Linked DNA regions of Macaca mulatta. The protein of the gene in region 1 binds, or shares a complex with, the protein of each later gene. Links are inferred from orthologs where the notes say so. Each region holds a gene or a part of one and is shown on either strand. Other genes may lie near its edges. The genes, in order: DLAT and PDK3.

Region 1 (11,443 bases):
GAGTCTCACTCTGTCGCACAGGCTGGAGTGCAGTGGCACGATTTCAGCTCACTGCAAGCTCGGCCTCCAGGGTTCACGCCATTCTCCTGCCTCAGCCTCCCAAGTAGCTGGGACCACAGGTGCCTGCCACTGTGCCCGGCTAATTTTTTTTGTATTTTTAGTAGAGACGGGGTTTCACCGTATTAGCCAGGATGGTCTCCATCTCCCGACCTTATGATCCGCCCGCCTCGGCCTCCCAAAGTGCTGGGATTATAGGCGTGAGCCACCACGCCCGGCCAACACTGGCCTCTTTTATGTTCCTCAGACATGCTAAACTCTTTCCCATTTCGGACTGTGTACAGCTAGTCTCTCTATCTAAAACGATCTTTCCCCAGTTCTTCACATGGTTGACTGAAACCGCCTCCTTCTTATCTTTCAGATCAAATCAAATGTCACCTCATCAAAAAGATCTCCCAACCACCCTGTCTAAAAGTAGTCATGACTGCACAAATATCCATCCACCCTTTCACTCACTAGTATATCACTGAGTTTCTTTCTTTCTTAGCACTTAAATCATCTTATTAACAAAAATATTATCATTATAGCTAATACCTAGACATGCTTTCTCTGTACAGGCACTGGTTAACTTATTTAAACCTCACAACCATTAAACCTACTGTACTTATATAGAAACCAACACAAAAGGTCACACAGCTAGTATAAGGAGCTGAGGTTCACACCCAAGCACTCCAGCTACACAGCTCACACTTTTAACCACTATGCTATACTCCCTTTCTGTTCATTTAATTCTTTACTGTTAGTCATATAAGCAACTGAAACTGAAATCTTATCCATCTGATGAACGAGTGTCTGATGCGTAGATAGTATTCGATGGTATTTACCACCTAACTCTGCCTGCATAGTAAGAATAGTGGGATTTTCTTTCCTTCTTTTTTTTCTTAACACTCCTCCTCAGCTCATGCCTAAGGGATTTTCCACTTATATCTTTAGTAAGGTAACCAGTATTGCTTAATATCTAATAAATGGTCCTTCTTTGCTTGTCTAAATTCTTTAGATATAATTATTAACCCAGTCCTTTCTCCCTTTAAAAGTTATTCCAACTTACACTGCTGTCCCTGATTCTAATCATATATAAAGAATAGGAATATACTACCGAAATGGTACTAAGATGGAAAAAAAAAAGAGTCTTCCAATATTATAAGAATCTCTAAAGTCCAAAAACTTTACAACATTCTACTCTTGTGTCTTGGGATTGGCTTGCCTTCTAACTACAAGACAGCAAATTGCAGATAGGGGATAACCACCACTGAGCACCCATAACTAGACAACTGGGGAAATAAGCATATTTTTCTTTAGTAATTACAGATGGCAGAGCATCAGAATGGAAGGCAGGATAGGGTAGTGTGAAGAAACAGGCTTTAGAGTTAAACAAATCTAGAGTCACACTGCAACTTTACTATTTAACAGGAAAAAAGAACCCTGAAGAGTCTGAGAGTCTGTTTTCTTATCCAGAAAATAGGGAATGATAATTCTTACTTCAAGAAGTGTTGTGTACATTAAGTATGATAAGTTAAATGACTGGCACATAGTACTAGCCATCAAACCAAGTTCCAAGAATAATAACTTCCCTCCTTTTCCAAATAAGTACCTTAGTTATCCTACACTAAATTTTAGCTTAGGTTTAACTCAAAAAAACTTACTTAAGCGCCAGGCAATAATATCAATATGAATGACAACAAACATGTATTGAGTACTTATATGCTAGATAACAGTTCTAGGCACTTCACCTGTTATAGCTCATTTAACTCTCACAATCTATATGATGTACAATACCTCGGTTTTATGGCTAGAAAAGTAATTGACATAAGGACATACAATTTAAGTAATTCACTGGAAAACAGATTACATAGAAAATTATAAAGCCAGGATGAAACGCTAGGTGGTCTGATTCCAGGCCCCATGTTCTTATCACAAAGCTATATTTTTTCTTTGGGGACAGACAGACAAGTAAGGCATTTCCCCTTGCCTTCAGGGAGCTCTAGTTCTGTTTTATATGAAGTTTATCATTTTAAGTCATTCCAAATCACCCCAATTTCAAATTTTATTTTGCTTTGCTTATTACTACAGTCAACCTAGCACTAACAGAGGTTTCTTATTACACAATCAAGTCCCATAACCCAATTTTGCTGAACAAGTACATATACTTTCAAACAAGTAGTTTCCATGAAGAGAAGAGGGAAAAAAAAGGTATCTAAAGTATATGGGTAGATTCTAGGCAGAGTAAATAAAGCTCAGTAAAAGTTTCCCTACTCTGTGGTGGCAACAAAAGAACTATTTCTCCCTTCTGATGTGATTATTAACAGTTGTCCCTACTATCCCAGTTATAAGTATGGCTATATATAGTTATACTTGCAAGTCTTAAGGAGGAAATTCAACTAAATTTAACTTTATAACTCTATTCCATAGAAACAGATTTACCTTTTACTTGTGTAAGATCAATCCCTTTCTCTACTGCCAACTTCTTTGCAAGAGGGCTAACAAACACCCTTCCCTTTGGTCCAGCAGGAGTAGCAGGGCAGGGTGCTGAAGGTGTAGGAGCTAAAGGCTGAGGAGTTGGAGGAACAGTGGCCACCTTTTGAAAAAAAATTACAAATTGTTTTAATTCACCACTTCAAAGATTGGTCTGAAAGATTAAAAGTTTACATCTTATTAATAAATTAAAACTATTTTAATTAAATATTAATAACTTTCATCTTTTTTCCAAAGATCATAATGTACTTTTCTCCAGTTTAACCAACATAATGTAGTAATACGAACAGCAAGAACAATATACATCTATGTCAAAGACAGAACAAAGTTACTTTATTCCATAACAACATGAAGAAGCACAGAACTGAATATTGCCAATCAGTGTATAGTATCCTATGGCCTTTCTTCACTTTAATCTCTTACCACTTCTTTATTTGCATTCTTTTACATCACCAACATAATTTTTATTTTTAATTATCCTAACATCTTTCTTTCTTTTATTTTTTTGAGACAGAGTCTTGCTCTGTCACCCAGGCTGGAGTGCAGTGGCGCAATCTCAGCTCACTGCAACCTCCGCCTCCTGGGTTCAAGCAATTCTCCTGCCTCAGCCTCCCAAGTAGCTGGGATTACAGACATGCACCACCATGACCAGCTAATTTTTTGTATTTTCAGTAGAGATGGGGTTTCACCATGTTGGCCAGGCTGGTCTCAAACTCCTGACCTCAAGCGATCCATTCGTCTCGGCCTCCCAAAGTGCTGGGATTACCAGCATGAGCCACCACACCCAGCCAGCTAATTTCAAAATACAAAAATTATGCTGTAAGGCCCCATGTTGAAAAGTATCTTAAAAAATATAGCCAGGTACGGTGGCTTATACCTGTAATCCCAGCACTTTGGGAGGTTGAGGTGGGCAGATCACCTGAGGTCAGAAGTTCATGATCAGCCTGGCCAACATGGTGAAACCCCTTCTCTACTAAAAATAAAAACATTAGCCAGGCATGGTGGCTGGCGCCTGTAATCCCAGCTACTCAGGAGGCTGAAGCAGGAGAATGGCTTGAACCCGGGAGGTATAGGCTGCAGTGAGCCAAGATCGCGCCACTGCAAGCCAGCCTAGGCGATGGAGTGAGAATCCGTCTCAACAACAACAATTAAAAAACAAAACCAAAAAAAAGAAATACAACAACAATGCTACTTGCCAGCTTCCCACAAATGTACAGTAGTCACAAATCAACTTTTGTCTTATAGAAATGTTTACCTAGCTTAAACTCACGATTCTAGCATCTGCAGAAGCTTCACTGTCAGTGTTATCTCTGGTTGGAGTTAATGCAAGTTCATGTTATAGTTTATTATAAAGTATTTTGTGATATAATAAATTCTATGCAAAAGAAGTCATGTCAAGGTTCCACTGTATCAGAAATATATGCTTGACCTACTACGTGAATAACAAGAGGATTTCAAGTGACAGAGATTATTCAGTATATTTAATAAAAAACGCGCAATGAAGTGAGCTATGACTGCACCGCTGCACTCCAGCCTTGGCGACAGGGTGAGACCTTGTCTCTTTTAAAAAAAAAAAAAAGGGCTGGGGCAATGAAGCCTTACTTTCCACAAGCATGATATCTACATCTAAAGCAGAAAGACAGCATATCACTCAGCTTTGTTTTCAGCAGGACTCTGGATGGCAGAAAAAAAAAAAGCTACAAGGCCCAAACTATCGACCATTAGGTGAACAATGCAGTACAACAAACACTATAGGTCTCCACAAAGGTTAATCAACTATCTCCCTCCTTAGTCATAGAATCTTGGAGGTGGAAGGAACCTAGGATATCATCTAATCAAAACTCCTTAATTTAGAGAGAAACAAGGTTAAGTGTTTCCTGAATTCTAGAAGCATACCTACCGGGGGTGGGGTAGGTGGTGGTGCTTGTGGTTTTAAATCTGTTACTTCAGTTGGCCTATAGTCAGCAAATGCTGATATATCTGCCTCTTTTTCTACAATGATACAGAGTGGGGTTCCTAGAGGGACATCTCTTGTGCCTTCAGGGACCAGGATTTTTGCCAGATAACCTTCTTCCTGTACTTCAAAACCTTAAATAGAAAGAAAAAACATTATGGGACTTCAGAGACTCCACTATCCCTCCAAACTCACAGCACAGTTTTAAGTAAAATGATTTTTCTCATTCAAGCTAGCTATATAACCTTTTTTGCAACCTATTTAACCTTCTGTGTCTTGGTTTCTTTACCTATAATATGGGGATAATAATAGTGCCAATCTCACAGGGATGTTTATACATTTAAACGGATTTAATATTTTTCAAGTTCTTAGAAATAATATGACCTGGTACAAAATAGCACCTGGTCCAAAGTAAATGATAAATAAATATGTGTTCAATAAAACTATGAAAGATTACAGATAGTGGTTAGTTCTAAAAGTTATTAAAAAATCTCCAAGGATAGCCCCCATGCAGACTCACAAGACTCTAAGATGGAGTTGGAAGTCAGCTATGCTGCTAAAGATAAGAACCACATACGTGCCAAATTAAGGGAGCTACCAACCTAGATATTAATGTTGGATTTCAGCCCTAAAAGCATCTTTGGAACTTTTCTAAGAGGTTATACTTGATATTATACCAAATATTTCAATGTGAAGAATTATAGCTTTACTAGGATTTCTATGGTGTTGACAACTTACATTTTATTCAACTACTGCCTTCCTTGCAAAGAACTCAAACATTTAGGATTGCAAAAGTAAAACTAAAAGAAGCCATTGGCTTTCTGTACTGTTGTGCCTCTCTTTGATGAATCCTTCCACTTCCCAACTGAGAATACCCAATAAAAAATATGTTTTAGGCCAGGCGCGGTGGCTCACGCCTGTAATCCCAGCACTTTGGGAGGTCAAGGTGGGTGGGTCACCTGAGGCTGGGAGTTCAAGACTAGCCTGACCAATGTGGAGAAACCCTATCTCTATTAAAAATATAAAATTAGCCAGGCGTGGTGGCGCATGCCTGTAATCCCAGCTGCTCGGGAGGCTGAGGCCAGAAAATCACTTGAACCCAGGAGGTGGAGGTTGCAGTGAGCCGAGATCGTGCCATTGCACTGCAGCCTGGGCAACAAGAGTGAAACTCCGTCTCAAAAAAAAGGAAAATATATACATATATATATTTAAGGCTGAGCACGGTGGCTCGCGCCTATTATCCCAGCACTTTAGGAGGCCGAGGTGGGTGGATCATCTGAGGTCGGAGTTCAAGACCAGGCTGGCCAACATGGTGAAACCCCATCTCTGCTAAAAATACAAAAAATTAGCCAGGCATGATGGCAGGTGCCTGTAATCCCAGCTACTTGGGCAGCTGAGGCAGGAGAATTGCTTGAACCCGGGAGGCAGAGAATGCAGTGAGCCAAGATCATGCCATTGCACTCCATCCTGCATCCCAGGCGACAGAGCAAGATTGTCTCAAGAAAAAAAAAAAAAAAAAGGCTGGCAGCAGTGGTGGCTCACGTCTGTAATCCCAGGACTTTGGGAGGCCAAGGCAGGCATATCACGAGGTCAGAAGTTCAAGACCAGCCTGGCCAACATAGTGAAACCCCATTTCTACTAAAAATACAAAAATTAGCCAGGCGTGGTGGCACGCACCTGTAGTCCCAGCTACTCGGGAGGCTCAGGCAGGAGAATCGCTTGAACCCGGGAGGCAGAGGTTGTGATAGGCTGAGATTGCACCACTGCACTCCAGCCTGGACAACAGAGTGAGACTCCATCTCAAAAATAAATAAAATGTTTAAAATGAAAAGGATCCTGGGCCACAACAGACTTCAAAGATCAACCAAGGTAACACTTCTCTAGTGACCAGTCTCTACAGTGACACTGGTATTCAAGTTAAATGGTGAAGCAGAACTATTGTTTCCAAAGTTTCTGTGTTTTTAAGAAACAGAATCCTTTCTTCAAATAAAATTTATGGGGAAGCACAAAATACAAAAAGATAAAAAAGAACTGCTCTACTGGAAGTAAGGGAGGGAGGCAGGGCATTATAAGGTCTTGCTCTTTAATTTCCCCTTTGCCCCAAGGTGCCTTCAAGGAATGATGGGATTTGAAGAACACAATCTGAAAACAACCACAACAGAGGATGCCCAGTACCTCCCATTACATCTTTGGGAAAGATTTTCCTTTAGTGGTGATTATGAAGCAGAGTGTCCGGGTGCGGTGGCTTATGCCTGTAATCTCAGCAGTTTGGGAGGCCGAGGCAGGCAGATCACCCGAGGTCAAAGAGCTCGAGACTAGCCTGGCCAACATGGTGAAACCCCATTTCTACTAAAAATGCAAAAAATTAGCTGGGTGTTATCGTGCATGCCTGTAGTCCCAGCTACTTGGGAGGCTGAGGCAGGAGAATTGCTTGAACCCAGGAGGCAGAGCTTGCAGTGAGCCAAGATTGCATCACTGTACCCAAGCCTGGGTAACAGAGCAAAACTCTGTCTCCAAAAAAAAAAAAAAAAAAAAAAAAAGGTGCATAGAGAAAAAATTCATAATACCTACAAATATCCATTTAAAAAAATCATAAATATATGACCGTCTATATGGGTTTTATTTTTTAGTCTAAAAATGAATTAAGAAGGAGATATATGGACATATGACATCTCTGAATATATATATATATAACACATGTACATTCTATCAGTCATTCTCAAACTACGAAAACAATCTCAACCCTGGTTTCAGTTTTCCCTCAAAGTCATCTTAAATTCTTTCCTATTATCCTGCCATGGAAGTGATTTTCTCCTGTTTCTTCTTGCATTCCCTTGCCTAGTTTAGACAGCAGCAGTTCTGATATAGCTTCTTAGTAACATAATAAGGCTAGGAAGCAAACTTGGGCCTAAAAATAATCTGTGAATTGACAGATTTATTGCCTTTAATTCAATGAGTGCAGGATGGAACTGACAAATCTGACTAAATATTATTTTTGTTATAAATTATTCTCAGCCAGGAACATGGGCTCACGCTTGGAGTCCCAGCACTTAGGGAGGCCAAGGCAGGAGGATCACTTGAGCCAGGAGTTCAAAACCACCCTGGGCAACAAAGTGAGACCCCATCTCTACAAAAAATTTTAAAAATCAACTGGATGTGGTGGTTCAGGCCTGTAGTCCTAGCTACTCGGGAGGTTAAAGGAGGAGGATCGTTTGGGTATAAGCCCAGGAGTTCGAGGCTATAGTGAACTATGATCTTGCCACTGCACTCCAGCCTGGGCAACAGATTAAGACCCTGTCTCAAAAATAAGCAAATAAACAAATAAATAAAAACTTAAGAATAAATATAACTAAATAGAAATAAAATATTCTGTCCCAGGAAATGAATCCTAAGAATTAAAAAGTTTTCATATTATCTCACTCACTCATTATAGGAAAGAATGGCAATCCTCTTCCTCATTGGGAAACTCAGTGCCTCAACCATTAAGAGCTGAAGAAATCTCACCTATAGTGGCTTTGTCAGTCTCTATCTCTGCCAGTAAGTCTCCTTCACTTAGCTTCTCACCCACTTTTTTTTCCCATCTCTGAACTGTGCCCATGGTCATGGTGGGAGAGAGGGCAGGAAGAAGTACCTGTAGAAACATACACATATTATTGCTTAATACCAGGACGACTTCTACATAATAACAGTCTGGCAGGTTTATATAGTTTTCATAGAATGATGGTGACTATGATAATCCAAATACTCATCACGGCAAAAGCTTCGCACCTCAATAGCTTCCCACCAGGTAAATCATCCTTCAAATCTCATACTCTGACCCATACTCTTATACTCTCACCCATACTCTGACACACACTCCAAGTTAAATGCAACAAGCAGATGGGAAAGATTTCTTTCAGACAGTCAAAATTAATTCCTCAATATCTAAGTATGGAGCATCTTTTCATCTATTTTTATTTTTATATTTATTTTTATTTTGAGACAGAGTTTCACTCTGTCACCCAGGCTGGAGTGCAACGGCACAATCTCGGCTCACTGCAACCTCCACCTCCTGGATTCAAGTGATTCTCCTGCCTCAGCCTCCCAAGTAGCTGGGATTACAGGCAGGTGCCACCATGCCCACTAACTTTTGTATTTTTGTAGAGATGGGGTTTTACCACATTGGCCAGGCTGGTCTCGGAACACTTGTCCTCAAGTAATCTGCCCGCCCTGGCCTTCCCAAGTGCTGGGATTATAGGCGTGAGCCACCGCACCCAGACTTCATTTTTTTTTTAACCAAGAAAATTTTCATTTTCACAAAATGACCTTGGTCCAATCCATTCTGTTAAAATTTTACTGCGCTCTGGACTTAGCATCTACTTATTTTTTACCCACAGGAAACTGCATTTGTCCCAATCTTCCCAGATATCTTTCCAAGATAAAAATGTAATATTAAGAACTGTTCTGTGCTCGCTTCAGCAACACATACACTAAACTTGGAACGATACAAAGATTAGCATGGCTCCTGTGCAAGGACAACAAACAAATTCATGAAGCATTCCATATTAAAAACAAACAACAACAAAAAAAACTGTTCTTTGGTGACAACAGCTAATAACAATATATTGTATTCTTGTAAATTCCTACAATCTTGTAGATTTTTAAGTGTCCTAAAAGATAAGTCTGTAAAGTAATGCATATATAAATTAGCTCAATTTAGCCATTCCACAATATATACATATTTCAGAACTTGTTGTATATAATATATATACATAGAATTCTTACATAGAATTTTATTTGATAATTTTTTTTTTTTGAGACGGAGTCTTACTCTGTTGCCCAGCCTGGAGTGCAGTGGTGCAATGATCATTTTAAAAAATAAAAGAGGAGGCCAGGCACAGTTGCTCACATCTGTAATCCCAGCACTTTGGGAGGCCAAGAATCACTTGGGAGGGGCAGATCACTTGAGGCCAGGAGTTCAAGATCAGCCTGGCCAAAGTGGCGAAACCCTACCTCTACTAAAAATACCAAAATTAGCTGGGCGTGGTAACACCTGCCTGTAGTCCCAGCTACTGAGGAGGCTGGGGCATGAGAATCGCAGAGGTAGAAGTGAGCCGAGATCGTGCCACGACACTCCAGCCATGGTGACAGAGCAAGACTGTGTCAAAAAAAAAAAAAAAAAAAAAAAACAGGAAAGACCAGGCATGATGGCTCATGCCTACAATCTCAGCGTTTTGGTAGGCTGATGCAGGAGGATCACTTGAGCCCAGGAGTCCACGACCAGCCTGAGCAACATGGTGTAACCTCGTCTATATAAAAAAAAAAAAAAATTAGCTGGGCACGGTGGCATGTGCCTGTAGTCACAGCTTCTTGTGAGGCTGAGGTGGGAGGATGGCTTGAGCCCAGGTCAAGGCTGCAGTGAGCTAAGATTGCACCACTGTGCTCCAGCCTGGGTGAAGAGTGAGATCCTGTCTCAAAAAATAAAACAGCCAGGCGTGGTGGTGTGTGCCTGTATTCCCAGCTACTCGGGAGGCTGAGGCAGGAGAATCGCTTGCACCCAGGAGGCAGAGGTTGCAGTGAGCCAAAATCGCACCACTGCACTCCAGCGTAGGTGATGGACTGAGACCCTGTTTCAAAAAAATAAATAAATAAAAATGAAAAACCAGGGGGAAAAAAAGCCCTGTTTTTATAATAGCCATTTCCACCCCAATAAAATCCAAACACCAGAATGCCTATCTAAATTTAAAATTGCTTTACTATTTATATGGCTTGTGTGTCCACTGAATTTGGATTCATTTGCTATCCTCTTTGTCTTCTGTATCTGATTAGCAACAGGCTTATGCGGAGGGGAAAATAATTTCAATTGAAGATGTTTCCAGAGAGGGGAAAAAATTAAGACAAGCCTTAGAAAAAAAATTGTAAGTGCCTTTTTTGTTCAGAATTTGCCATCTTCATCTGCTTCTTAAGAAACAGTGAAGTCAGCCGGGCGCGGTGGCTCAAGCCTGTAATCCCAGCACTTTGGGAGGCCGAGACGGGCGGATCACGAGGTCAGGAGATTGAGACCATCCTGGCTAACACCATGAAACCCCGTCTCTACTAAAAAATACAAAAAAACTTGCTAGGCGAGGTGGCGGGCGCCTGTAGTCCCAGCTACTTGGGAGGCTGAGGCAGGAGAATGGCGTGAACCCGGGAGGCGGAGCTTGCAGTGAGCCGAGATCGCGCCACTGCACTCCAGCCTGGGTGACAGGCTCAAAAAAAAAAAAAAAGCAACAGTGAAGTCAATAATCTCTATACAGGATCTTAAAGAACAGTATCAGAGATTCAGAATTCAATTCAGTATCTTAAAGAATAATTAAGGTAAAACCCTAGCACATGCACACAAAGCTACAGGCACAAAGTAGAGGAAAATTAAGTCAGTCTTGTATCATGAGAGAGAATCTGCCGAACAGCATGTAATACATGTGTGAACTGAACACCAGGCAAAAATCCTAAATGATTGTTACTAACAAACCACGGAGTAGAACGTTATTTCCAAAGAAGAAAATGATTCCTATACAAAAATTTCTACAAATAAACTAGATTCAGGAGAAATGCTAGTCAGAATTATTTAGAAAAGGATGGCTGGATTTTTATCCACTTGTAACATCTAAAGCACACAAATATACAGAAGATAACCCTAATACCTAATAAATTGACTTAGTTTCTTAGAAACTGATTTAGTTAGCACAATCAACAGTGATTACATTCACTGCCTTCAACTTTGTTGCAACGCTATTACCTATGTGTATCTTACACTTAATTTTTATCAGTTTTCTCATTTATTAATACTACTGGATTACTTCACCTACTCTTGGAAAATAGATCACCACATGTCAAAAGAACACCAATTGGGGACTTTCATTCAACAGACAGCACTTGACACCTATGATACAGCTTGGATGTTTGTCCCCTCCAAATCTCATGCTGAAATACGATCCCTGA
Region 2 (11,443 bases), on another chromosome or scaffold:
GTTTTGTCTCTGTTTTCAGCCAAAGCGCCAGACAAACCTATTCAGGTGGTTTATGTGCCCTCACATCTGTTTCATATGCTATTTGAGTTGTTCAAGGTAAGTGGAATTTTAAAAACATGGAAAGAAGTCTTCATTTTAAATTACTTTGATTCAGAGCATAATGGATTCATTAGATTAGCATAAGAAAAAGGTTTTGCATAACCATTTTAAAAATTCTATTTCTGATATCCTGTGGGTTTTATAATTTGTACACTGTGAGATGAAAAATTGCTGTGTACAGTATAGTTTTTGTGAATATTAGTACATATCGATTTTGAAGCTTAATTGCACTTTAGTGATTTTATGTAAAATCCATACTGTTTTTTTCTTTGGTTATGAGATTAGAGATGCTTTTTAGTTTCCAAACCTGGCAAAGGCTTTATTGGTGGTAGCCAGATCAAAATAAAAACATGTTTATACATATTTATGCTTCTGAAAATTAACCACACTGGTACATTAGTGGTTGTTCCAATCCTGAGAGATCCTGCAACCCTTTTATAAAATATTTGAATCAATTCAGAAGATCCAAGAGAGGCAGAGAAAGATGTAGATGAGCTGGACCAAAAGAACCAGCCCCCACCACCCCACCAAATTCTTTAGACTCTGCAACTTAAGCTGTTGCTTTTGTTAATCAGTAGCTAATGACATTTACAGTAGCAGTATTACAGGCACAAGGCATTTGAGCTAAAATTTCATTTCTTCCAATGCGTGAAACACTAAATTTGAACACCTGAAAAATCAGTTATGCTGATTTGCTTCCAAAAATTAGAGTGTTACTGATGTAATGCTTTAAGGTTGAAATGGGCATTCAATTGTGAACTTTCTCTTCAGCAGCTGTGGCTTTTTCAGAATTTCTTTTTAACCAATATTTCTTCTACTTTTTTCAGCCAAATGATTAATTTTTGTGGGAAGCATGCATCCTTTCAGTTTTTCTGCCTCCTTTAGAGAAAAGGTGCTCTATAAATGCAGACTGATAAATAGGATTTAAAGTACACAAATGAGCCTCTGCATAGCCTCATTACATGCGATAAAAACATTCCTCTGGATTGAGTTGAATAATTTAAATACCGTAAAGCAAAAAAAAAAAAAAAAAAAAAAAAAAAAAAAAAAAAAAAAGAAGAAGAAGGAGAGAAAAATAAATATTTAGCATGTTGGATGAGGCTAAAACTAGGTGAAAAACAAAGTGTCAGGAAATTTTTCCTTGATTTGAGCACATTTAGCTAAGCTCTTTAGAGGGAAAAGTGCCATAAAAATCCAACTAATATTTGCCCCAAAAAAGGGTTGTTGGGTATAAGTCATGCACTTCTTTCTCTTTAAAAATTGTGGTTTGTGATTCGGCAGTATGATTAACAAAAAGATCTTATTATTTTAGAACTCAATGAGAGCGACAGTCGAACTCTATGAAGACAGAAAAGAGGGCTACCCCGCTGTTAAAACCCTCGTTACTTTGGGTAAAGAAGACTTATCCATTAAGGTAACTGTTTTATGCGCATGTATACTTTAATTATCAGTTGTGATTTAATAGTATCTAGACATTGAAAAATCAGAGGGAAGAAAATTGACATTTATTGAGTGTCCTATTTGTAAGTTCTATGCTAGATCCTTGGCTTAAGTTACCTTATTTAAACTTCATTAGAACCTTGTTATTCATGGAGTTGAACAAGACCTCAACACCAAGCCTGTTGGATCCTACTGTACCATTCGGCCACCTTTGCTTTACACTGTTCACAAAGGAACCATATGTCACTGGGGATTCAAAGTCCTTGTACATTTTGGAGTAATCTGCTATGTACTTTATTTAATGAACCCATTGCCTCCTACTAAGTATAGATCAACTTCTTTGTTTTGATTGTTAACATTTTGTACATTGCAGATCAGTGACCTAGGCGGTGGTGTTCCACTTCGAAAAATAGATCGTCTTTTTAACTACATGTATTCGACTGCTCCTAGACCCAGCCTGGAGCCTACCAGAGCTGCCCCTTTGGTAAGCATCTCAAACTGCTGCTGAAGGAAAGATCATAAACACGGGAAGGGGCTCAGAGGGAGCTGCCTCTCTCCCCAGGTTGTCACATTAGTGTAGTTGATTTAGAATGTTGCAGTTTGGAGGAGGGGGAATTTTTTGCCTTGGCTACTTTCTTTGTACTTCTATTTCCTCTCTGATTTATCTCTAAGAAACACTCCGAGCTGAGTGCCTCACTCCCAAATACAGAGAAAAAGTACCTCATCGTGGTAAGACTGCTACTGGAGCACCATTTTCCACTTTGTGCTACCCTTGGCAGGGGTAGAAGTTACCAGTGGGTGAGCAAAGGGACAGTACTGAATGCATAGCTGCCGCTTGGTCCTGCACACTCTGGCGTGCATACCACAGAGGCGCGAATCACCTAGTGCCTTGGAATCTCCACTGTCAAATTTGTTTATATAATTAAAATGTTAAATTATGGAAACATTAAATTTTTATATTAAATAACATTAGCATGAAACATATAGGTGGTGTATGCGTTTTCAGAGCCCTTTCTGTCTCACTCTGGAAATAACCTTCAGCCCTATTAAGGCAGTGAGAAAAGCCTCTGGTTACCATGGTAGCATTTAGATCCTGGTAGGGCCACACTTGCTTCCCCTGCTGAGTGTTTCTAATTGACAAACAACAATTGAACCCTTTGTCATTAAACACAGCAACATATCTATCAGTCTGCAAAATGGTTCAGGGTATAAATTAAGTTTCATTTTAAAGTCCTACCTGACTGATAAGCACATAAGATTATATTTTATTTGTATTAATAAAATCAAACACTTTGCATCCTTTATTTGAGACAGAGTTTGTTAACTCAGCATGTTGGAAACAGGAAATCATTTATATAGGATTTGAGAAAATTCATGAAAGATCACGTTTGAGAGGCATTGCCTTGACTAGGCTCTGGCATGCACTTAAATACACATCAAAAGGAAAAAAGGCAGCACAAACAAATGTAGCACCTTCCCCAGTTGTTTAAAAGAAATATAGATTGTCTCTTCCAGGTCTTAAAATAGCATCTTGAGGAACTGGGGACTTGTAAGAGACCTTTAAAAATTACGCACGCACACTCCCATTGTAGAGATGAGGAAATGAGGAAATGACCTTGCCCAAAGTCATTGAACTAATTAACTGCAGAGCTGGTGCTGGCCATGTCTGTGTTCTTTCCAGTGTACTATGTGGCCTTTCCTTTTGAAGAAATGCTTCCACTAGTGGCTCTCCCAGTTAAGAAACTGGCCTGTAATCCTAGCACTTTGGGAGGCCAAGGCGGGTGGATCACTTGAGGTCAGGAGTTCGAGACCAGCCTGGCCAACATGGTGAAACCCGGTCTCTACTAAAAATACATGAAAATAGTCAGGAGCAGTGGCGCACGCTTGTAATCCCGGCTACTCAGGAGGCTGAGGCACAAGAATTGCTTGAACCTGGGAGGTGGAGGTTGCAGTGAGCCAAGATTATGCCACTACACTCCAGCCTGGACGACAGAGCGAGACTCTGCCTCAAAAAAAAAAAAAAAAAAAGAAAAAGAAAAAGAAACTCTCCTCAGCTTTAAAGTGGGCACATGGATATGTACTACTAGAAAACATAATTTCCTCATTGAGCAACTTGCATTTTTACACCTCTGTGCCTTTACACGTGCATTTCTGTTGTGAGAATATCCACCCAGCGAACTCCTGCTGATGCTTTGACCGTCTGGGAAACCTTTCCTGAACCTCAGCCAATCCGAGGTCCAGACCCCTCCTCTGCACTCTGGGAGTCTGGGCTTACACTCACATCTGCATTGGCCTCGGAGCTCTCGCCTGTTCTGTGTTGGACCTGAGGGCAGGCTCTGGGCCTTGCTTGAGCATAGAAGGCAGATTTCCTCACATCTCTTCCTAGAGTGAGCTAGTTTCTTTGCTCTGGTTACCTGAGTCACTACTATAGATATCTCATCTTCACTACTGGCCATATTCAGCAAGTCCTAAAGCCCTCAAATAATGGAGTATGTTCTTTTACCCTCTGCCCTTTCAGTTAGACGCTACCCTGAGAGGAGGTATCAAGGAGAGATGTTAGAAAAGGGCAGAAATCCATGTAACTTCATAAAATTGCTGCTCCCAGTAGCTAGAGTACCAGCTTTGATTTATTTAGTTTTACTGTGGTAAGCACTGTGCCAAGATTTGATACTTGTTATATTATTTAATCCTTATAGCAGCTCTGAGGTCAGTTTTTTTTAAAATCATATATTCAGATGAAAAATCGGTCTCAAAGAGGTTGAGCAAACTGCTCAGAGTCACACAGAAAGTGGATTTCAACTTGGGTCTATCTGAGTCTAAGGCCCATGTGACTCTATGCACATGGTCCCCTGCCCTCCTTCCTTAACCTTGTTCATAGATTTAACCAGAAGTGAGGAAGCTTGGTGTTAAAATATCTCCTTCCACACCCTGCCCCACTGCCACTGCAAACGGTATTACATTTAGTTTCGATTCGTATTGTTCTTGTCCATACCTGAGACCTTTTTTTTTCTCCCTGAACACCTGTTATTGACAGTCAGAGTTCCATGACATAGAGATATAGGAAGGTACTGAAAATTTTTTTTAATCTCTAAAAATATCTGAACTATAATATACCAAAATATTCTCACATTCCCGGAACCTTAGAAGTTGCCTCTCAGAAAATTGTTTTCCTTTCCGTGTTCTCATCTTGTTACTGGTAGATTTGCACTCAGCACTGCGCTATTGATTTTCACTTCTAAGAGCAGGGAAATCTGATCATGGGACGTTGAAATGATGTGGTTTAGTTCTGTCATCAGGTCACATTCCTCTTGATTTGGAATGTGCTTTTTTTTTTTTTTTTCTTTTGTGGAGATGGAGTCTCGCTCTGTCACCCAGGCTGGAGTGCAGTGGCACCATCTCAGCTCACTGCAACCTCCACCTCCCAGGTTCAAGCGATTCTCCTGCCTCAGCCTCCTGAGTAGCTGGGACTACAGTCTCCCACCACCTCGCCCAGCTAATTTTTGTAGTAGAGACGGGGTTTCGCCATGTTGGCCAGGCTGGTCACGAATTCCTGACCTCAAGTGATCTACCTGCCTCAGCCTCCCAAAGTGCTGGGATTACAGGTGTGAGCCACCGTGCCCAGCCTTGGAATGTGCTTTTTAAAAATGATAAAACTTTGCTTTTAAATGCTAAAAAAGTATTAGTCAAAAAATAGAATATTTTTATTATTATCCAAACATGTAAGACATGTTTTTGCAGGGTGAAAATAAAGAGGTTGTTTGCCATAGAAGAGGATATACATCATTGTAAAGGTTGAGTCAGTAATTTCTTTGATTTACATCTGAATCAAGAATTTATTTTAACCTTCTCTGAATGGTCATCATATAAAATGTGTTAGCATTTGTGCCTGTCTCACTGTATTAATTTTCTTTTCTCAATAGGCTGGATTTGGTTATGGTTTGCCAATTTCCCGTCTGTATGCTAGATATTTTCAAGGAGATCTGAAACTGTATTCCATGGAAGGAGTGGGTACTGATGCTGTCATTTATTTGAAGGTACTGCATTTTATTTGTTAGTATGAGGCATCTTTGCTTTTTAAAGCTTTAAGTTCTAATCGCTGATTGAGAATAGCGATCGTCTCTTAGATTCATCTCAGATTTACTTCACTTACCCATGAAAACCATGTTATGCCTCACCCTTGATTCTATGCTCAGGTATAGCAAAATATGAAACGTGGAGGTATAGAAATTAAAATACTGATTTTGGCCAGGCACGGTGGCACAGGCCTGTAATCCCAGCACTTTGGGAGGCTGAGGTGGGCGGATCACCTGAGGTCAGTAGTTCGAGACCAGCCTGGCCAACATGGTGAAACCCCATGTCTACTAAAAATACAAAAAATTAGCTGGTGTGGTGGTGCACGCCTCTAGTCCCAGCTTCTCAGGAGGCTGAGGCAGGAGAGTCACTTGAACCCGCGAGGCAGAGGTTGCAGTGAGCTAAGATGGTGCCGCTGTACTCTAGCCTGGGCGATAGAATGAGACTCCGTCTCAAAAGAGAAAAAAAAAATTAAAATGCTGATTTTTAAAACCGTAATTTTAAATTGTGACTTAAAAAACTGCATGGCTGTTGAAAGATCTGATCTAAAAGGAGGTCGATTTTCATAAACTGAAGTATTTTGGTCTTTGGTTTTAAAAACTCACTGGCTTTCCCAAAGTTACAAGAATTCAGTAATCATAATATAGTTAGATAAAAGGTTCATTTCATAACAAACTTCTCTGTAACACTCTTTCTTATTCATTGGTGGTAATTGGACTTTTATTTCTAAACTCTAGAATATTTGTAACGTTTTTTTGAATAGGTAATATAGACACATAATAAAAATTTAAAAGCCGCAAAAGGAAAAATTAGTCTCTCCTCCCACTGGCCCTAAACCACCAGTTCTCTTCAGCGGAGATCACCACAGGTCTTAGCGTCTTACGGTTCCTCCTAGAGTTGATTCTACATTTATAAATATGGGGAAAATAGAATTTTTCCCACATAAATGAAATTTCAGCACCTTCTTATTTTTTTTACTTTCCAATCTGTCTTGGAGATCTTTCCAGAACAGTTTATGTAGAACTGGCTCATTCTTTTAAACAGTGGCATAACATGCTACTGTGGATCAAGCATCCCTAACCCAAGAATCTGCCATCTAAAATGCTTGAAAATCTGGAACTTTTTGAGCGCCAATGTGATGCTTGCTCAAAGGTCAAGCTTAAAGGAAATGCTTATTGGAGCACTCCAGATTTCAGATTTTCAGATTAGGGATGCTTAACAGGTAAACACAATGCAAATATTCCAAAATCGGAAAAAATCAGAACTACTTCTGGTCCCAAGCATTTCTTTGTTTCTTTCCTTCCTTCTTTTCTTTTCTTTTCTTTTCTTCTCTTTTCTCTCTTCTCTCTTTTCTTTTCTCTCTCTTCTCTTCTCTTCTCTTCTCTTCTCTTCTCTTCTCTTCTCTTCTCTTCTCTTCGACGGACCCTCGCTCTGTCACCCAGGCTGGAGTGCAGTACCGCCATCTCGGCTCACTGCAACCTCCGCCTCCTGGGTTCAAGCTATGCTCCTGCCTCAGCCTCCTGAGTAGCTGGGATTGCAGGTGCGTGCCACCACACCTGGCTAATTTTTTTGTATTTTTAGTAGAGACAGGGTTTCACCATGTTGGCCAGGCTGGTTTCTAACTCCTGACCTCAGGTGATCCACCTGCCTCAGCCTCCCAAAGTGCTGGGATTACAGGTGTGAGCCACTGTGTCCGGCCTGTTCCCAGGCATTTCAAAGGGATACTCAACCTGTGTATGTGACACCAGAATTTAACCAGTTATTGGGAGTATTTATCTTAGATGCCCATGCCTCTAAGTAATGTGATATTTAATAGCACTTGATGGTGTGTGTTTATAAACCTGGGATGCATGAGACTATTTCTTCCTGGGCCCTTTGTGAGACCAATCACCACGTATAGTAAAAACAGTTGAGCATCTCAAAGCAGTATGAGCTGAATTAAAATATGTTTTGTTCTGGTCATGTGTATTTCAGTTCTGATTTTGAATGAGCAAATGTTTTCATTCCCTTAAAAAAGCTTTGATATTTTCCTGGCCAGTCTAAGTAAACTACTAAGGTGTATTTTTAATATCATTTTGAAAATATGTATTAAGGTTTCTGATGTTTTACATAATAAAATTTGGGTTACTATTTCACTTGAGAAAATGACACTGTGGACCTTTGATGTATATTTTTGTTTCTCCAATAGGCTCTTTCAAGTGAGTCATTTGAGAGACTTCCAGTTTTTAATAAGTCCGCATGGCGCCATTACAAGACCACGCCTGAAGCCGACGATTGGAGCAATCCCAGCAGTGAACCCAGGGATGCTTCAAAATACAAAGCGAAACAGTAATATACCACTTTGATTTCCATTACAAAGTATCTGATTTGTCTGAGTAAAGGTGTCCCACTCACTGTTCTAGGAATTCTTACACTGTAGAGGTATTCACAACAGTGAGCAGGGATTTGACCTGCCATGAATTTTATTTAAAAAGCAATTAAATTTGCAGTTTGTCATCATAAACGTTAGAGGTTGAAAATGAAAAATAAGTTAAAATGATCAGTCAACATAAAAGGTGATCAGTTCATGCGATGGAATAATATTTGGCCTTAAAAAGGAAGGACATTCTGATATGTGCTACAACATGGGTGAATCTTGAAGTCATTATGCTAAGTGAAATAAGCCAGACATAAAAGGACAAATACTATGATTCTACTTATGTGGGGTACCTAGAGTAGTCAAATGCAGAGACACAAAGTTGAAGGGAGGTTGCCAGGTGCTAGCGAGGAAGAGGGAATGGGGAGTCATTGTTTCATGGGTACAGAGTTTCAGGTGGAAAGATGAAAAACTTCTGGAGATGGATGGTGGTGATGCTTGCACAACAGCGTGAATGTACTCAATGCCACTGAACTGTACGTGTAGCAATGGTTAAGATGGTAAGTTCTGGGCTGGGTGTGGTGGCTCACGCCTGTAATCCCAACACTTTGGGAGGCTGAGGCTGGATGATCTCTTGAAGCCAGGAGTTCGAGACCAGTCTAGGCAACATAGTGAGACCCCGTCTCAGCAAAAAATTTAAAAAGGTAAAATTAGCCAGGTGTGGTGTGTGTCTGTAGTCCTAGCTACTCAGGAGGCTGAGGCGGGAGGATCACTTGAGCCCAGGACTTCCAGGCTGTAGTGAGCTATGATTTGCACCACTGCACACCTGCCTGGGGGACAGAAAAGACCGTGTCTCAAACAAGAAAAAGATGGTAAGTTCTATGTTATGTGTAGCTTATCACAATAAAAAATTTAAACATTATAAAGGAAAAGTTATCAATCACAGAAGAAGTTTCACTGTTTTATGGTAATAAGGAAAATAATCTGTAGTTTTCTTCTGACTACCTACCCTTAAGCTTCAACTCTACTAGCAACAGTAGGGTTCTGCTTCATTTAACTTAAAATAATCCTGTATTAACAAAAAAGCAGTATATGTGCATTATAAAAAAATAAGAAAACGTTGTCTGGGCGCAGTGGCTCATGCCAGTAATCCCAGCACTTTGAGAGGCTGAGGTGGATGGATCACTTGAAGTCAGGAGTTCAAGACCAGCCTGGCCAATATGGGGAAACTTGGTCTCTACTAAAAATACAAAAATTAGCTGGGTGTGGTGGCACGTGCCTGTAATTCCAACGACTTGGGAGGCTGAAGCAGGAGAATTGCTTGAACCCAGGAGACGGAGGTTGCAGTGAGCCAAGATAGTACCACTGCACTCCAGCCTGGGTAATAGAGCTAGACTCCATCTCAAAAAAAAAGAAAGAAAAGAAAAAATAGAAGACATAAGTAAGCCAAAAAAGAAAGGAGAGACCTCTGTGTTCCCAAAACCCAGACATTGCCACTGCTATAGCTTCTGTATGTTCTTCCAGACATTTTGCCATTTGTGTATATATGTATTTTTTTGCAAATGACATTACACTATTCATACTGTTTTACAACCTGCTTTTGTTTCATTTAACCATCCCATCTTTCCATGTCAATAATCATTCACCTGATTTGTCTAAACCGAGATCTCTATTCCAGGACCACATAACACATCTGGGTAGTCTCAAGTTGTTGTTATTGTCTTTTAATTTAAAAAAGTTTTGTGGGTACATAGTAGGTGTATATATTTCTGGGGTACGTGAGATGTTGTGATACAGGCATGCAAAGTGAAATAAGCACGTCACGGAGAATGGGGCGTCCATCCCCTCAAGCATTTATCCTTTGAGTTACAAACAATCCAATTACATTCTCTAAGTTATTTCAAAATATACAATTAAGTTATTGTTGACTGTAGTCACCCTATTGTGCTATCAAATAGTAGGTCTTTTTCATTCTTTCTATTTTTTTGTACCCATTGACCATCCCCACTTCTCCTCAACCCTCCCACTACCCTTCCCAGCCTCTGGTAACCATTCTTCTACTCACTGTGTCCATGACTTCAATTACTTTGGATTTTAGATTCCACAAATAAGTGAGAACATGTGAAGTTTATGTTTTTGCGCCTGGCTCATTTTACTTAGCATAATGACTTCTAGTTCTATCCATGTTGTTGCGAATGACTGGATTTCATTCTTTTTTATGGCTGAATAGTACTCCATTGTATGTGTGTCTGTGTATATATGTGTATATACACACACACACACACACACACACACACATATATATACACACACATACACATCACATTTTCTTTATCCATTCATCTGTTGATGGATACTTAGGTTGCATTTCGTTATTGAGAGACCATGCCAGTTGTCCTGAAAAAGTATCCTACCTTGATTTGTTTAATTTCTTCTTTGAAATGTCATTTAGCTTATTCCCCATTCCCTGTATTTTCTATAAATTGGGAGTTCATTACAAGCTAATGGCGGCTGGGTGCGGTGGCTCATGCCTGTAATCCCAGCACTTTGGGGGACCGAGGTGGGCAGATCACTTGAGGTCAGGAGTTCGAGACCAGCCTGGACAACATGGCAAAACCCTGTCTCTACTAAAAATACAAAAATTAGCCAGGCGTGGTGGTGCACGCCTGTAATCCCAGCTACTCAGGTGGCTGAGGAATGAGAATCACTTGAAGCCAGGAGGCAAAGGTTGCAGTGAGCTGAGAATGTGCCACTGCACCCCAGCCTGGGCGACAGAGTGAGACTCTGTCAAAAAAAAAAAAAAAGAAAGAAAGAAAAAGAAAGAAAGAGAAAGAAAGAAAGAGAAAGAAAAGAAAAAGAAAGAAAAAGAAAGAAAGAAAAAGAAAGAAAGAAAGAAAGAAAGAAAGAAAGAAAGAAAGAAAGAAAGAAAGAAAGAAAGAAAGAGAGGGAAGGAAAGAAAGAAAGAGCTAATGGAACATTTTTTGCTAGAATATCCATAAGCACTGTTGCAGAATTACACTATGAGACCCATGACATCTCATGACCCACCATTAGTGATGTTATGATTGAGCATAGTTTAGGTGATGGCTGTCTGATCCCTCTGAGTTATAGTTATTTTTCCCCTTTTCACTAGAAAATAATCTGTGTGGTGTTATTTTGGCACTATGCAAATGTATACTTACCCATCAGCTGTTCACCTAATGGCTTTTACCCCAATTGATCATTTCAGCCTGTGTTAAAATTAATACAGTAATTTTATTTGGGTTTATAAAAGGATGTTTAAAAAAATGATTCCTTTGTCAATTATTCTCCTATAAAGTAAAGCTCTTCCTCATCAAATAAGGCCATTTAGGTATTTTGAAGTACAGTTCCTCTGATAAGTGTTTAACTCCTTCCTTTTACATTTAAAGGGACAATTAAATTCCCTTCAAGTTACCAATTTTCCAGGTAAGAAATATGTTAAAAGCCACCTTAAAT

What was found.
Region 2: the proteins of DLAT (region 1) and PDK3 are in contact, whole or in part, in a crystal structure (PDB 1Y8N), measured with the Homo sapiens proteins. The link is inferred for Macaca mulatta from reciprocal best matches to the Homo sapiens genes DLAT and PDK3. Residues at the interface, in NP_001922.2 of Homo sapiens: Ala225, Leu226, Ser227, Pro228, Thr229, Glu248, Gly249, Lys259, Ala260, Ile262, Glu265; in NP_005382.1 of Homo sapiens: Arg21, Phe22, Ser23, Pro24, Ser25, Pro26, Leu27, Phe48, Lys51, Val55, Asn373, Lys374, Ser375, Arg378.

What each region holds. Positions count from the first base shown.
Region 1 is NC_133419.1:112,783,191-112,794,633, reverse strand, and holds part of DLAT (dihydrolipoyllysine-residue acetyltransferase component of pyruvate dehydrogenase complex, mitochondrial), read right to left. Parts: exon of another isoform or gene 11,332-11,443; intron 9,033-11,331; exon of another isoform or gene 8,929-9,032; intron 8,115-8,928; coding exon 7,988-8,114; intron 4,618-7,987; coding exon 4,430-4,617; intron 2,633-4,429; coding exon 2,479-2,632; intron 1-2,478.
Region 2 is NC_133426.1:24,342,590-24,354,032, forward strand, and holds part of PDK3 (pyruvate dehydrogenase kinase, isozyme 3), read left to right. Parts: intron 1-19; coding exon 20-96; intron 97-1,411; coding exon 1,412-1,513; intron 1,514-1,912; coding exon 1,913-2,023; intron 2,024-5,459; coding exon 5,460-5,573; intron 5,574-7,798; coding exon 7,799-7,938; intron 7,939-11,443. UniProt on the Homo sapiens protein: Inhibits pyruvate dehydrogenase activity by phosphorylation of the E1 subunit PDHA1, and thereby regulates glucose metabolism and aerobic respiration. Can also phosphorylate PDHA2.